2 linked regions of the Sus scrofa genome follow. The protein of the gene in region 2 interacts with the protein of the main gene of each other region in a pairwise test. Links are inferred from orthologs where the notes say so. Each region holds a gene or a part of one and is shown on either strand. Other genes may lie near its edges.

What was found.
Region 1: the proteins of ARL6IP1 (region 2) and C5H12orf10 interact in binary tests that used the Homo sapiens proteins (3 or more experiments, as listed by UniProt). The two-hybrid records come from large-scale screens. The link is inferred for Sus scrofa from reciprocal best matches to the Homo sapiens genes ARL6IP1 and MYG1.

Annotation. Positions count from the first base shown.
Region 1 is NC_010447.5:18,514,419-18,520,774, forward strand, and holds the start of C5H12orf10 (UPF0160 protein MYG1, mitochondrial), read left to right. Parts: upstream 1-2,528; 5' UTR 2,529-2,781; coding exon 2,782-3,006; intron 3,007-3,201; coding exon 3,202-3,314; intron 3,315-6,130; coding exon 6,131-6,290; intron 6,291-6,356. Other genes in the region: PFDN5 (prefoldin subunit 5), read left to right, coding at 521-595, 712-817, 2,307-2,383. UniProt on the Homo sapiens protein: 3'-5' RNA exonuclease which cleaves in situ on specific transcripts in both nucleus and mitochondrion. Involved in regulating spatially segregated organellar RNA processing, acts as a coordinator of nucleo-mitochondrial crosstalk.
Region 2 is NC_010445.4:26,762,076-26,767,228, forward strand, and holds part of ARL6IP1 (ADP-ribosylation factor-like protein 6-interacting protein 1), read left to right. Parts: intron 1-1,458; coding exon 1,459-1,592; intron 1,593-2,506; coding exon 2,507-2,626; intron 2,627-4,925; coding exon of another isoform or gene 4,926-4,937; coding exon 4,938-5,055; intron 5,056-5,153. UniProt on the Homo sapiens protein: Positively regulates SLC1A1/EAAC1-mediated glutamate transport by increasing its affinity for glutamate in a PKC activity-dependent manner.

The DNA.
Region 1 (6,356 bases), on a different chromosome or scaffold from region 2:
TCCCATCATGACTCAGTGGTTGATGAATCCGACTAGGAACCATGAGGTTGCGGATTTGATCCCTGGCCTTGCTCAGTGGGTTAAGGATTCGGCGTGGCCGTGAGCTGTGGTGTAGGTTGCAGACCCGGCTCGGATCCCGCGTTGCTGTGGCTCTGGCATAGGCCGGTGGCTACAGCTCCGATTTGACCCCTAGCCTGGGAACCTCCATATGCCGCGGGTGCAGCCCTAAAAAAGACAATAAAAAAAGCCATCTAGTCTTTCTGGAAGGGCTAATGGGAAGAACTCTAAGAACTTCTTGGAGGGTGGCAGTGAGATCAGGGCAAGATCAGCATGTGTAATTTTCTCCATAAGGAACCAACTTCCCTGTGTCTCCCCTTTGGAGTGTGTAGGCCTCCAGATTATCTGATCCCGGTACCTTTTAAGTTTTTAGAAAAAGGGGTTCTTAGGAGGTCAAGCAGATGAGCCGACAGGAAATCAGGACTCATGCTGGGCTAGTTTTCCCTTAATCCTCGCTTCTCAGATGTACGTCCCTGGGAAGTTGCATGATGTGGAACATGTGCTCATCGATGTGGGAACTGGCTACTATGTAGAGAAGGTGAGTGGAAGGAAGCGTATGGATGCCCCGCTGAGGAGGCAGAGGGAGTTTAGGGAGAGATCCAGAGTGCACAAAGAGGTCTCCTCTTAGCCCCTCCTTCACCTCTGACCTTCCAGACAGCTGAAGATGCCAAGGACTTCTTCAAGAGGAAGATAGACTTCCTCACCAAGCAAATGGAGAAAATCCAGCCAGCTCTGCAGGAGAAGCATGCCATGAAACAGGGTAAGCTTGGCCTTGGGCACCTCTTCACCATTTCTACCTCCATAATAATCAAGAACATGAATTGCAGCGTGAACCATGGCGGGTGTCCCCTTTGTTGGATTAAAACCATGGTTTTCTCTTTGGTGTCTTGATGTATTATTCTTTAGATGCTGTGCATCACATATCCGCTATTTCTAGATTCCTGGGTTCAGTGCTTGAGAAATTTAGAGAAAGGAAATCCCATCTGTGTTTTTGTGTTTGAGATCCTATTTAATGTAGATGGAATAGGGAAAAAGATGCATGTAAATGAACACACAGGAAAGAAATAAAGCCCTAACTAGCTATCTACTGGCAAGTAAAGCTTTGGCTGTACCTGGAGAATTTAAAAAGAAAACCTGGGCCTACTCCAAATCAGCTGCAGTTGACCCTTGAACAGAGTTGGGCTTTGGGCACCAGCGCTTCAAGAAGTAGAAGAAATTCAGTTCTGCGTTTGCCACTCAGGGATCATGTAGTGCTATAGTATTTACTATTGAAAAAAACCCATGTGTAAGTAGACCAGCACAGTTCAAACCCATGTTGTTCAAGGGTCAACTGTAAATCCATCTGTGGGCGTGGGGGCGTGTTCCAGGAAGCAATGATTTTTTTTTTTTTTCTTTTTTCTTTTTTAGGGCCGCATTCGAGGTATATGGACGTTTGCAGGCTAGGGGCTGATCAGAGCTGCAGCTGCCGGCTTACACCACAGCCACAGCAATTCAGGATCTGTGCCTCATCTGTGTCCTACATCACAGCTCACAGCAACGCCAGATCCACCACCCACTGATTAAGGCCAGGGATCAAACCCACATCCTTGTAGATACCAGTCAGATTCACTTCTGCTGTGCCACAACAGGAACTCCAGCAATGCTTTTTAAAAAGTTCCCCAGGTGATTCTATTGTATAGTCAGGATTGAGAATCACTGTTATAAAGGCAGAAATCTTTTCAATGTTATAATTTTCTGGTTATATGTGACTCTTTATATGTATTTTTTCATTTTTCATTTGTATTCTTTTTTTTTTGTCTCTGAGCCTTTTCTAGGGCTGCTCCTGCGGCATATGGAGGTTCCCAGGCTAGGGGTCGAATCGGAGCTGTAGCCACTAGCCTACACCAGAGCCACAACAACGCGAGATCTGAGCCGTGTCTGCAACGTACACTACAGCTCACGGCCACGCCAAATCCTTAACCCACTGAGCAAGGGCAGGGATTGAACCTGCAACCTCATGGTTCCTGGTCAGATTCGTCAACCACTGCGCCATGACGGGAACTCCTGTGTTTGTTCATTTTTATATCCCAGTTGTTATCATCTTTACTGACACATCTTAGACTCTATAAATTTGTGTTATGTGTGTCCTCCACAGCGGCTCACTGAGTTAAAGGTTTTATTAACTATGGTATGTTGTCTGCCTGTCACTTTTCCTGAACTTTGGGTTCTCCCCTTTAGCTTCTGACCAAGATCTGACTTTTTCCCGACAGCTGTCATGGAGATGATGAGCCAGAAGATTCAGCAGCTCACAGCCCTGGGAGCAGCTCAGGCAACTGCCAAAGCCTGAGAGCTTGTTTCAGAAATGGCATGGGGGTTCCTGCTTCAGGAGCCTTGGACTTTCTGAGCGTGGTTTCCTAGAATGGGGGAGGAGGAGGGTCTTGTGTATTAACTAATAAATGTGCCAGCTGGGCAGAGTGTTGGTCTTTTCTTGCCTTAAGCACAAGACGAGTGATGAGGTGGGAGGGCGGTGGTGAGAGGGCGCGTCCCTTCCCAGTGCCTGATAAGCAGGTGTGATGCAGTGCTCATCTTGGCGGCTTCACCCTGGGCCCTTGGAAGAGCAGGTATGGGAATGCAGCTCCCACACTTCCGGGCAAGGCTGGTTGCTGTGGGAACGGTGGCAAGCGGAAGTAAGGCGGTGCCAGCACTTCCCCTTCCGGTTCAGCGCCCTCCTTCTGGGTAAGCTGCATGGGACACCGCTTCCTGCGCGGTCTCCTACCTCTGCTGCTCCCGCTGCCGCCGGTGCCAACCCTTTGGGGTCCGCATCGCACGCTCAGCCTGGAGTTCGTCTTGCCCTCCAAAAGGCCCCGCAGCCACCTCATGGCTCCGCCCCGAATCGGGACACACAATGGCACCTTCCACTGCGACGAGGCGCTGGCCTGCGCGTTGCTGCGCCTCCTGCCCGAGTACCGGGTACGATTCACCCAAACTGACCTGGGGGCAGCTGGCGAGTCTTGGGGCGGTGCACGTCCTCCTCCTTGAGGGGTCCCTGTGGTAGTTCGCGTGGCCTGAGTTCCCCTTCTCTCCTCCCTGGTTCCCTGGAAGCCCAACGTTAACCCTCTACCCGTGCGACCTTAGCAGCCCCCTCACCACTTCTGTCCCCTGCAGGATGCAGAGATTGTGCGGACCCGGGACCCCGAGAAACTGGCTTCTTGTGACATCGTGGTAGACGTGGGTGGAGAGTACGACCCTCAGAGACACCGATATGACCATCACCAGAGGTAGGTTCCCACATACCATTTCTTCAACTTCCTTGATGTCAACTTTACTCAGCGCTCCAGTCCACCATCGTCCGTGTCAGCGAAGGGAAGCGCCTCGCCCTGGAAAGCAAACTGAATTCTATGGGACTAGCGTCTTCCATCCTTTCCCGCTGCCCGGCGCTCATATCTGGTCTTAGGCCTCTGGTGGCCCCCGTCAGTCCCCAGGCCCCTCTTGACTCACGTCCCAGTTTGGCGCAGTCAGGCTTTTCTTCTACCCGGACCGTCATCACCCCACTGAATACTCCACCCAGGATTAATCCTTTCAGGTGCCCTTGCTGCCCCACCTTAGACTGCTGGGCTGTGTTGTCTTCCACTGAGAACTCTTCTTGTAGCCCTTTATCCATAGTACCATTCCAGTCCTTTTCCCATCCTCAAGTCCCTGCCTCATCAGACTCCCTCAGTGAGGAATTTCCTTTCCTTTCAAAGGAAATTGAGCTTTTCCTGCGTGCACATCCTCACTTTCTCACTCCTGAACATGTCAGCTCCCTCCTTCCAATTCAGGAAACATTTCCTTCTGTTTGCCCTCGTCCAATGTGTCACTTTCTGCTCTGGGACCTCACATCACAATTCTCCCGCCAGGTTTCTACCTTTTTTTTTTTTTTTTTTTTTTTTTTTTGTCTTTTTGCCATTTCTTGGGCCGATCCCATGGCATATGGAGGTTCCCAGGCTAGGGGTCGAATCGGAGCTGTAGCCACTGGCCTATGCCAGAGCCACAGCAACGTGGGATCCGATCCGCATCTGCAACCTACACCACAGCTCACGGCAACGCCGGATCCTTAACCCACCTAGCAAGGCCAGGGATGGAACCTGCGTCCTCATGGATTGGGTTCATTAACCACTGAGCCACAACGGAAACTCCAGGTTTCTACTTCTTGCCTACAGCAAGAAACTCTGCTTGAGCCTCTCACATCTTGAAAACAAAGGAGTGAAAAGACCCCAAAACTTTCCCTCACATACACCACAGAGTTTAAAGCAGTTGTCTCTGAGGGTTCATGAAGAGGTTTTAAGTTTATTTCTCTCCCCCTGCCTCTTTCCCTCCCTCCCTCTCTCTCTCCTTTTTGTTTAAGTATATGCGTTACTTTCATAAATGATGTTAGAGGAATGCTCCCCGTACTTAGAGCCTAACCTCTCACCCTCACTTCTCAGCCACTTTTCAACAAAAGAGCTGACCTGGCTCCACATCCCTTCCAGTTCATTCCATTCATCCATCCATTCAGTCATTCATTCAGCCAACTCTCTCCCAGTCTCTCTACTAGAAATGCTTGTGGAAAGGGCACAGTGACCTCAATACCAAACTCAGGTTGCTGGCTGAGGGTCTCACCTTAACTGACTTCTTTATGGCACTTGACACTATTGACAGCTTTCTTTTTTCTAATTATTGTATACACCTTTTTTTTAAAAAAAGCTATGCAGTAGTTGACACATAAATCACTATATGTAACATTTCTGGAATATAAAACATAAATACCCGTGCACTGATCTCCCAGCCTAGGAACGAGAACATTACTATTACCTTTGTATCTACACTGGGCACCGCTTCCCGTCCGCATCCCCCCACATCCCCCAGGAATGAGCGGCATCCTGAATTTTGTGTTCATCATATCCTTGTTCTTGTGTACAGTGTAGCACCTATGTTTGTTTCCATCAACTGTTTAGTTTTCCTTCTGTCTGAATCTTTGTTTTGTTTTGGTTTTTGGGGTTTTTTTGGCTGCCCTGCAGCATATGGAGTTCCTGGGCCAGGAATCAGATCCTAGCTGCAGCCACATGCCTGGTGATCGAACCTGTGTCCAAAGACGCAGCCAATCCCTCTGGAGGGTTATTGTTATTAGTCTTTATACCTTATGAATATTTTATAAATATTTTTGTATTTACTCAATATTTAATAATAATCATTAGAATGGCCAGTAAGGGAAAAAAAAATCATTAGAAAAAAAAAAATGAACTCCCTTGATCCTTCGTATGGATTGGTATTTAGAAATTGCAGCTGTAGTTTCTTCTGCTCTAACAGCTGTCATACCTGTCCCCCATGCTCTGTCCTTGCATCTCCTTGCATCTCATCTCCATGCTAGCTGGCACAGTGCTCTTTCTGACACACACTGGCCTGCTTACACTCTTTTGATGGCTCCCCTTTACCCACAGATAAGAGCCAAACTTCATCTGCAGCATACAAAGCCTGCCGTGGTCCAGACCCTGCTTCTCCATCCAGCTTTGTCATTTGCTGCTCACTCCTCAAGCCAAGCTCCTTTCTTGCAGTTCTGTCAAGAGATCTGTCCCTTAGCCATTGTACATGTAGTTCTCTCTACCTGGAATGCCTTTTCTCCTTCTCACCCTTTGTCTGTCTGGCTCACACCCACTAATTCAACTTTCAGGAGTGACCCGAAGGCTCTCCTCCTGAACCCTTTCCTCACCCTCCCCCTTTCCTTATTTATAACTGGCTAAAGCATTCACGTCACTGTGTGGGTGGGTGGGTGGGTGTGCGTGTCGGCCTTAGGTGAATGAACTTGAAGGCAGGGACAGGGTCTTAGTTTTTTCATCTCTAATATCTACAACACAAAGCCTGACATGTGGTAACCACTGCGTTAACCATGGTCGAATGAATGCATGAATGGAGACTCCAAGTTCAAGTCCACGTTGACCCCTGAGGTCAAGCCAAAGCTTCCCCAGCTGGGCCTTCTTCCATCTCCCTCAGTATTCCCCCACCCCCCGACCCCCGCGCGCACACACTGGGAGTGAACTGGGGCAGCTCTGCCTCAGCCCCACCTCCCTGTGCTCCTCAGGTCTTTCACAGAGACCATGAGCTCCCTGTCCCCTGGGAAGCCGTGGCAGACCAAGCTGAGCAGTGCGGGACTCATCTATCTGCACTTCGGGCACAAGCTGCTGGCCCAGTTGCTGGGCACTAGCGAAGAGGACAGCGTGGTGGGCATCCTCTATGACAAGGTGGGGACCTGAGGACAAGAGATGCCCTGCACAAGCATCTCCACCAGGCCGGTTAGAGTGGCACTT
Region 2 (5,153 bases):
GCCCCCATGGCCTATGGAGGTTCCCAGGCTAGGCTACACCACAGCCACAGCAACATCAGATCCAAGCCAAGTCTGCAACCTACACCACAGCTCTTAGCAGTGTTGGATCCTAAACCCACTGAGCAAGGCCAGGGATCAAACCTGCGTCCTCACGGATACTAGTCAGATTCGTTTCTGCTGAGCCACGACAGGAACTCCACAGATGTCATCTTCAACAAGGTTAAGCGGCACTGTCTCCTATCATTTGCCTGTCTCCCTATAATAACAGTCATAAGGATACATGGGTTTCTTCCAATTTTTTTTTTTTTCCTCTACCAGAATCAGTTTAAAGGCTTTTTGTCACATTGGCTTCATCCTAGAAGTTTCCTTGCAGGTGATTGTCAGATTTGCAGAGAAATTTAAAGTCTAACCACAATGTCTGCTAAGTGTCAGAAGCATTTTATTGAGGTAAATTGGGCTTACTGTGCCTCATATAATTTGGTGAAAGCACCCGTAGTTTTCCTAATTGTGCAGATGATGCCAACATCTAAATGATTCCATTATACAGAGAGCTGTTTTGGAAACCGCTCTTCAGGAAGAGGCTTTCCTAATGGATTCAGAAGTAGGGGGTTAAGTCAGTGAAATGAAACAACAAATTAGTTGTAACCACCTGAAATGAGCAAACTTAAAGTGATGTAATTTCATTTTCAGAAAGCTGCCACTTAGTAGGACATGACTTTGGGAAAGCAACTTTTTTTTTTTTTTTTTGGCTGTGCCCTCCTGTGTATGGAAGTTCCCGGGCCAGGCCAAGGATTGAACCCACACGACAGCAGCAACCAAAGCCACTGCAGTGACAATGCCTTAACTCGATGCACCACAAGAGAATTTGGAAAGCAACCGTTCTGAGCTCACTTTCTTTTTACTGTAAAATGGATCTAATTATCCTTATTTTATGAGGTTCTATACGGGTTATTATGTACATAAAGAATAGCCCAGTGCTTAGAGTTGGAAGGTGACCATTAAGTGATAATTTTTCCCCCGTAATTTCTGGCTTTGGTATCAAAACTGCAGAGTTTTTTTTAAAGACTAACTTGTTTAAGATAGTGATTTGTGGAAGTTCCCATTGTGGCTCAGTGGTAATGAGTCCAACTAGTATCCATGTGGACGCTGGTTCGATCCCTGGCCTCATTCAGTGGGTTTTGGATCCAGTGTTGCTGTGAGCTGTGGTATAGGTCACAGATGCAGCTCGGATTCCACATTGCTGTGGCTGTGGCCTAGGCCAGTGGCTGCAGCTCTGATTCGACCCCTAGCCTGGGAACCTCCGTATGCCATGACTGTGGTCCTGAAAAGCCAAAAAAACCATAGTGATTTATAAGAGCTCTTTTACATGCTTGGTGCCTTAGAAGAATTTAACTCTCTAGGAGCCACGAAAATATGGAGATTAGTAAAATAATCCCTTTAAATGTTGCTCATATGTAGGCTGCAGAGACTGCAAATCTGGAAGAGCAGCTGCAGGGATGGGGAGAAGTGATGCTGATGGCAGATAAAGTCCTCCGATGGGAAAGAGCCTGGTTTCCACCTGCCATCATGGGCGTGGTTTCTTTGGTGTTTCTGTAAGTGAGATATTAAATTACTGTGGATTGTGCTTGTTACTAATAAAGACTCCAGTTCCATTTATGCAAGTGCCTGAAGTCTTTTGTAATGTATAATCTGTGAAGAATGCCTTTTCTTAGAACCGCAGGCCTGGTTTCCAGAATTTGTAGTACTTTTGTAAGCTCCGTAACCCAATGCAGTGAAATAAATCTAGGTCCTGCTGTACAGCACAGGGAACTATATCCAATCACTTGTGATGGAACATGACAGAAGATAACATGAGGAAAAGAATGTTTTGTATGTATATATGCCTGGGTCACTTTGTTGCACAGCAGAAATTGACGGAACATTGCAAATCAACTATACTTTGAGTAAAAATTTTTTTGAGGGAGTTCCCATTGTGGTGCAGTGGAAATGAATCCAACTAGGAACCATGAGGTTGCAGGTTCGATCCCAGGCCTCACTCAGTGGATTGAGAATCCGGCATTGCCATGAGCTGTGGTGTAGGTCACAGATGCAGCTCGGATCTGGCGTGGCTGTGGCTGTGGTGTAGCCCAGCGGCTACAGCTCCGATTAGATAGACCCCTAGCCTTGGACCTTCCATATGCCATGGGTGTGGCCCTAAAAGGACAAAAGACAACAACAACAACAAAATTTTTTTTTAAATCTATGGCTTAAACTTTGGGCCTTAAGAGCCTTTATGCTCCTAAAAAGTATTGAGTACCCCGAAAAGCTTTTGTCTCTTGATGTTTACATGAACCCTTGCAGCTCTGATGTCATCATGTCATGAAGCTTCCGGAAAACCACTTGTGAGAAAATTAGAATGGAAAGGGCAGATAATCTCTTTGAGAAGCAGAGGTCTGGATGAATAAACATCTTCAGCTAGGAATAATATGTTTTTATAACCTTTCTTTTTTTTTTTTTTTTTAAACAGGACTATCTACTATCTAGATCCATCTGTTCTGTCCGGTGTTTCCTGTTTTGTGATGTTTTTGTGCTTGGCTGACTACCTGGTTCCCATTCTAGCACCTAGAATTTTTGGCTCCAATAAATGGTAGGTGGAACAATGACTTGGCAGTCAAGTTTCTGAGAAGTTACTGAACCTGGTATCTGTGACTAGTATGCTGTAATTAAGCCCAGAGAATTGTCTTCACCGCCAGATACTGGGGGGTAGATTTATTGCTTGAAGTGAGGCTTTTTTAGGTAATGTTTTATCTAGGATTGCAAAACTCATCATGAGCTTTCCATAAAAGTAGTATGTCTACTTTTAGATTTTTTTCCGTTGATATTTAAGATAATATTAATTTTACAAATTACTTTTGAATAAATATGAGAACAGTAATATAGTTTTTTGGAGGTTTTTTTTTTTTGTCCCCCCCCCCCCCGGCCTATTCATTTAGCATCTATTTATTGAATATCTACTTTTATGTTAAGACACACTAACTGCCCTGGGTGCTGTGAAATAGTTTGAGTTTTAGGATCCTTTGTTTCAGGTTGACACAGTGCAGTGGTGGATGGCAAAATACACGCTAAGTGCTTTAGAATAGATTCAGGCTATATATACAAGTGGGTTATTGCTTTCATCTCTGCTCTTCTTTGAAATGGTTACTTATGAGTTCCCAAGATAAAGTTAAATGGCTGCAGATCCTATTATTTTTACCTTCCCTCTAGAAGGTTGCATTTCTCATTTTTGATCCTAATAGTGAACAAAACTAGATACTAGATTTTTTTTCCTGCTAGCTGCTTCTCTACCTTGGGTGTTTATTTTAATGTGATTAGTAGTCTACTTAGGCCTTTAGTTATTTTGTTCCCCTGATAATAGTGAATTATAAAATAATTCTGTAAAAACAACAATTTTAAACAGTAGGGTTTGCTTAAGTTATGGGATAATTAAGCATGTTTATTAAGATATTTCTGCCGCAGCAGAATGGATTAGTGTTAGGAAATGTCCTTTGAATTGTTTTTCTTGTGCAGTAATGAATTATGCCCCTGTTTGGGGGCACGCTTGTAACTATGTCATGTAACAACTTAACAGAATCAACCTCAGACCTTGACTTTGTTAGCAGGTGACATTCTAATCTGCTAGTTCACTGAACTCCTGGAGAAAAGTTTTCAGCAGTAAACCTTTGAGGTTTCAGTGTGTGGCTCAGTCTTACCCACAGAGCAGTTTTAGTTTTTTGGCTTTTATGAGGAAGGAAGAACACAGTTACCTAGCCACAGTCTAGCCTTAACCAGGAACAGCATATGAGGTCTAATTATTTACAGGAAGTTGCAGAGCTTAGCGGAAACCCTTCTACAGTGTGTCCCTGTAGGCTCACAAGGATGAGGACTAGAAATCAAAAGCAAAACACCCGCAGTATATAGAGCTTGCTTTACAATAGCAGCCATTCTGTCTGTCTAGCAGAGACACTACCAAGGCAATTTTTTTTTTTATCAAAACCCAAAATAAATTATGAATTAAAAAGGATTTTTCTTGGAAGATCTTTTTGTGTTCTTACTGAAGTTTTGCTTATGATTCTGTTTTCCCTTCATGAGAACTCAATTTATAGGTGTTACCGTCGTGGCTCTGCAGTTAATGAGCCCGACTAGCATCCATGAGGATGCGGATTCGATCTGATCCCCTGCCTCGCCCAGTGAGTTAAGGATCCGGTGTTGCCATGAGCTGTGGCGTAGGTCCCAGATGCAGCTTGGATCCTGAGTTGCTGTGGCTGTGGTATAGGCCCACGGCTTCAGCTCTCTGATTAGACCCCTAGCCTGGGTGTGACCCTAAAAGAGATGAAAAGATTAAAAGAAAAAAAAATTTTAAAAAAGGAACTAAATTTATAAAGAATTTGGATTTGAGCTGTTTGTTGCTGCCTTGGCATCAAATGGGTGAAGCCCATTTGAGGGTATTGTGCCTTGAATGCTGGTAGTTCTTACCTTACTGAAGAAGAGTGCTTACATACAGCGGTTTGGTAGAAAGGTCTCCTCCTTATCAAAGTGGTGGGCCTCAGATGGGCTATAGCCCAGGATTCATTGGGATCCGCAGAATACTACAGGATTAGGGAAATTCATTCATATTGATTACTGCATGGCTCGTAGCAGTCATGAATCTTTCGTTTCTATCATTGACCAAATACTGTTTTAGAACCACATATAACCATTGCTTTGTACACACACACACACGTCTTTATGTTAAAAGTTAATTCCTATGTGATAAAAAGAGACTTAACTGGTACAAGAAATTTTTCTATAAGAAAATGGTGAACCACTATTGTTTTTTATTTAGATTTTCTTTAGACAAATAGCTTTGTAAATTTGAGAGGATGGTGTATCTGTTTACTATTAAGATTTGCTTATAGTAAAGGCTAAAGTTCTTTTTCTAGGACCACTGAGCAACAGCAAAGATTCCATGAAATTTGCAGCAATCTGGTAAAAACTCGACGCAGAGCTGTGGGCTGGTGGAAACGCCTCTTTACACTAAAGGAAGAAAAGCCTAAAATGGTACTTTTTTGGTTTTGACTTAAGTAAAGCAATATTTTGAGATTCAGCGCATTTTTACTTCATTGTAGTCTAAAGCCTTCTTGCTTTACTCTAGTTAC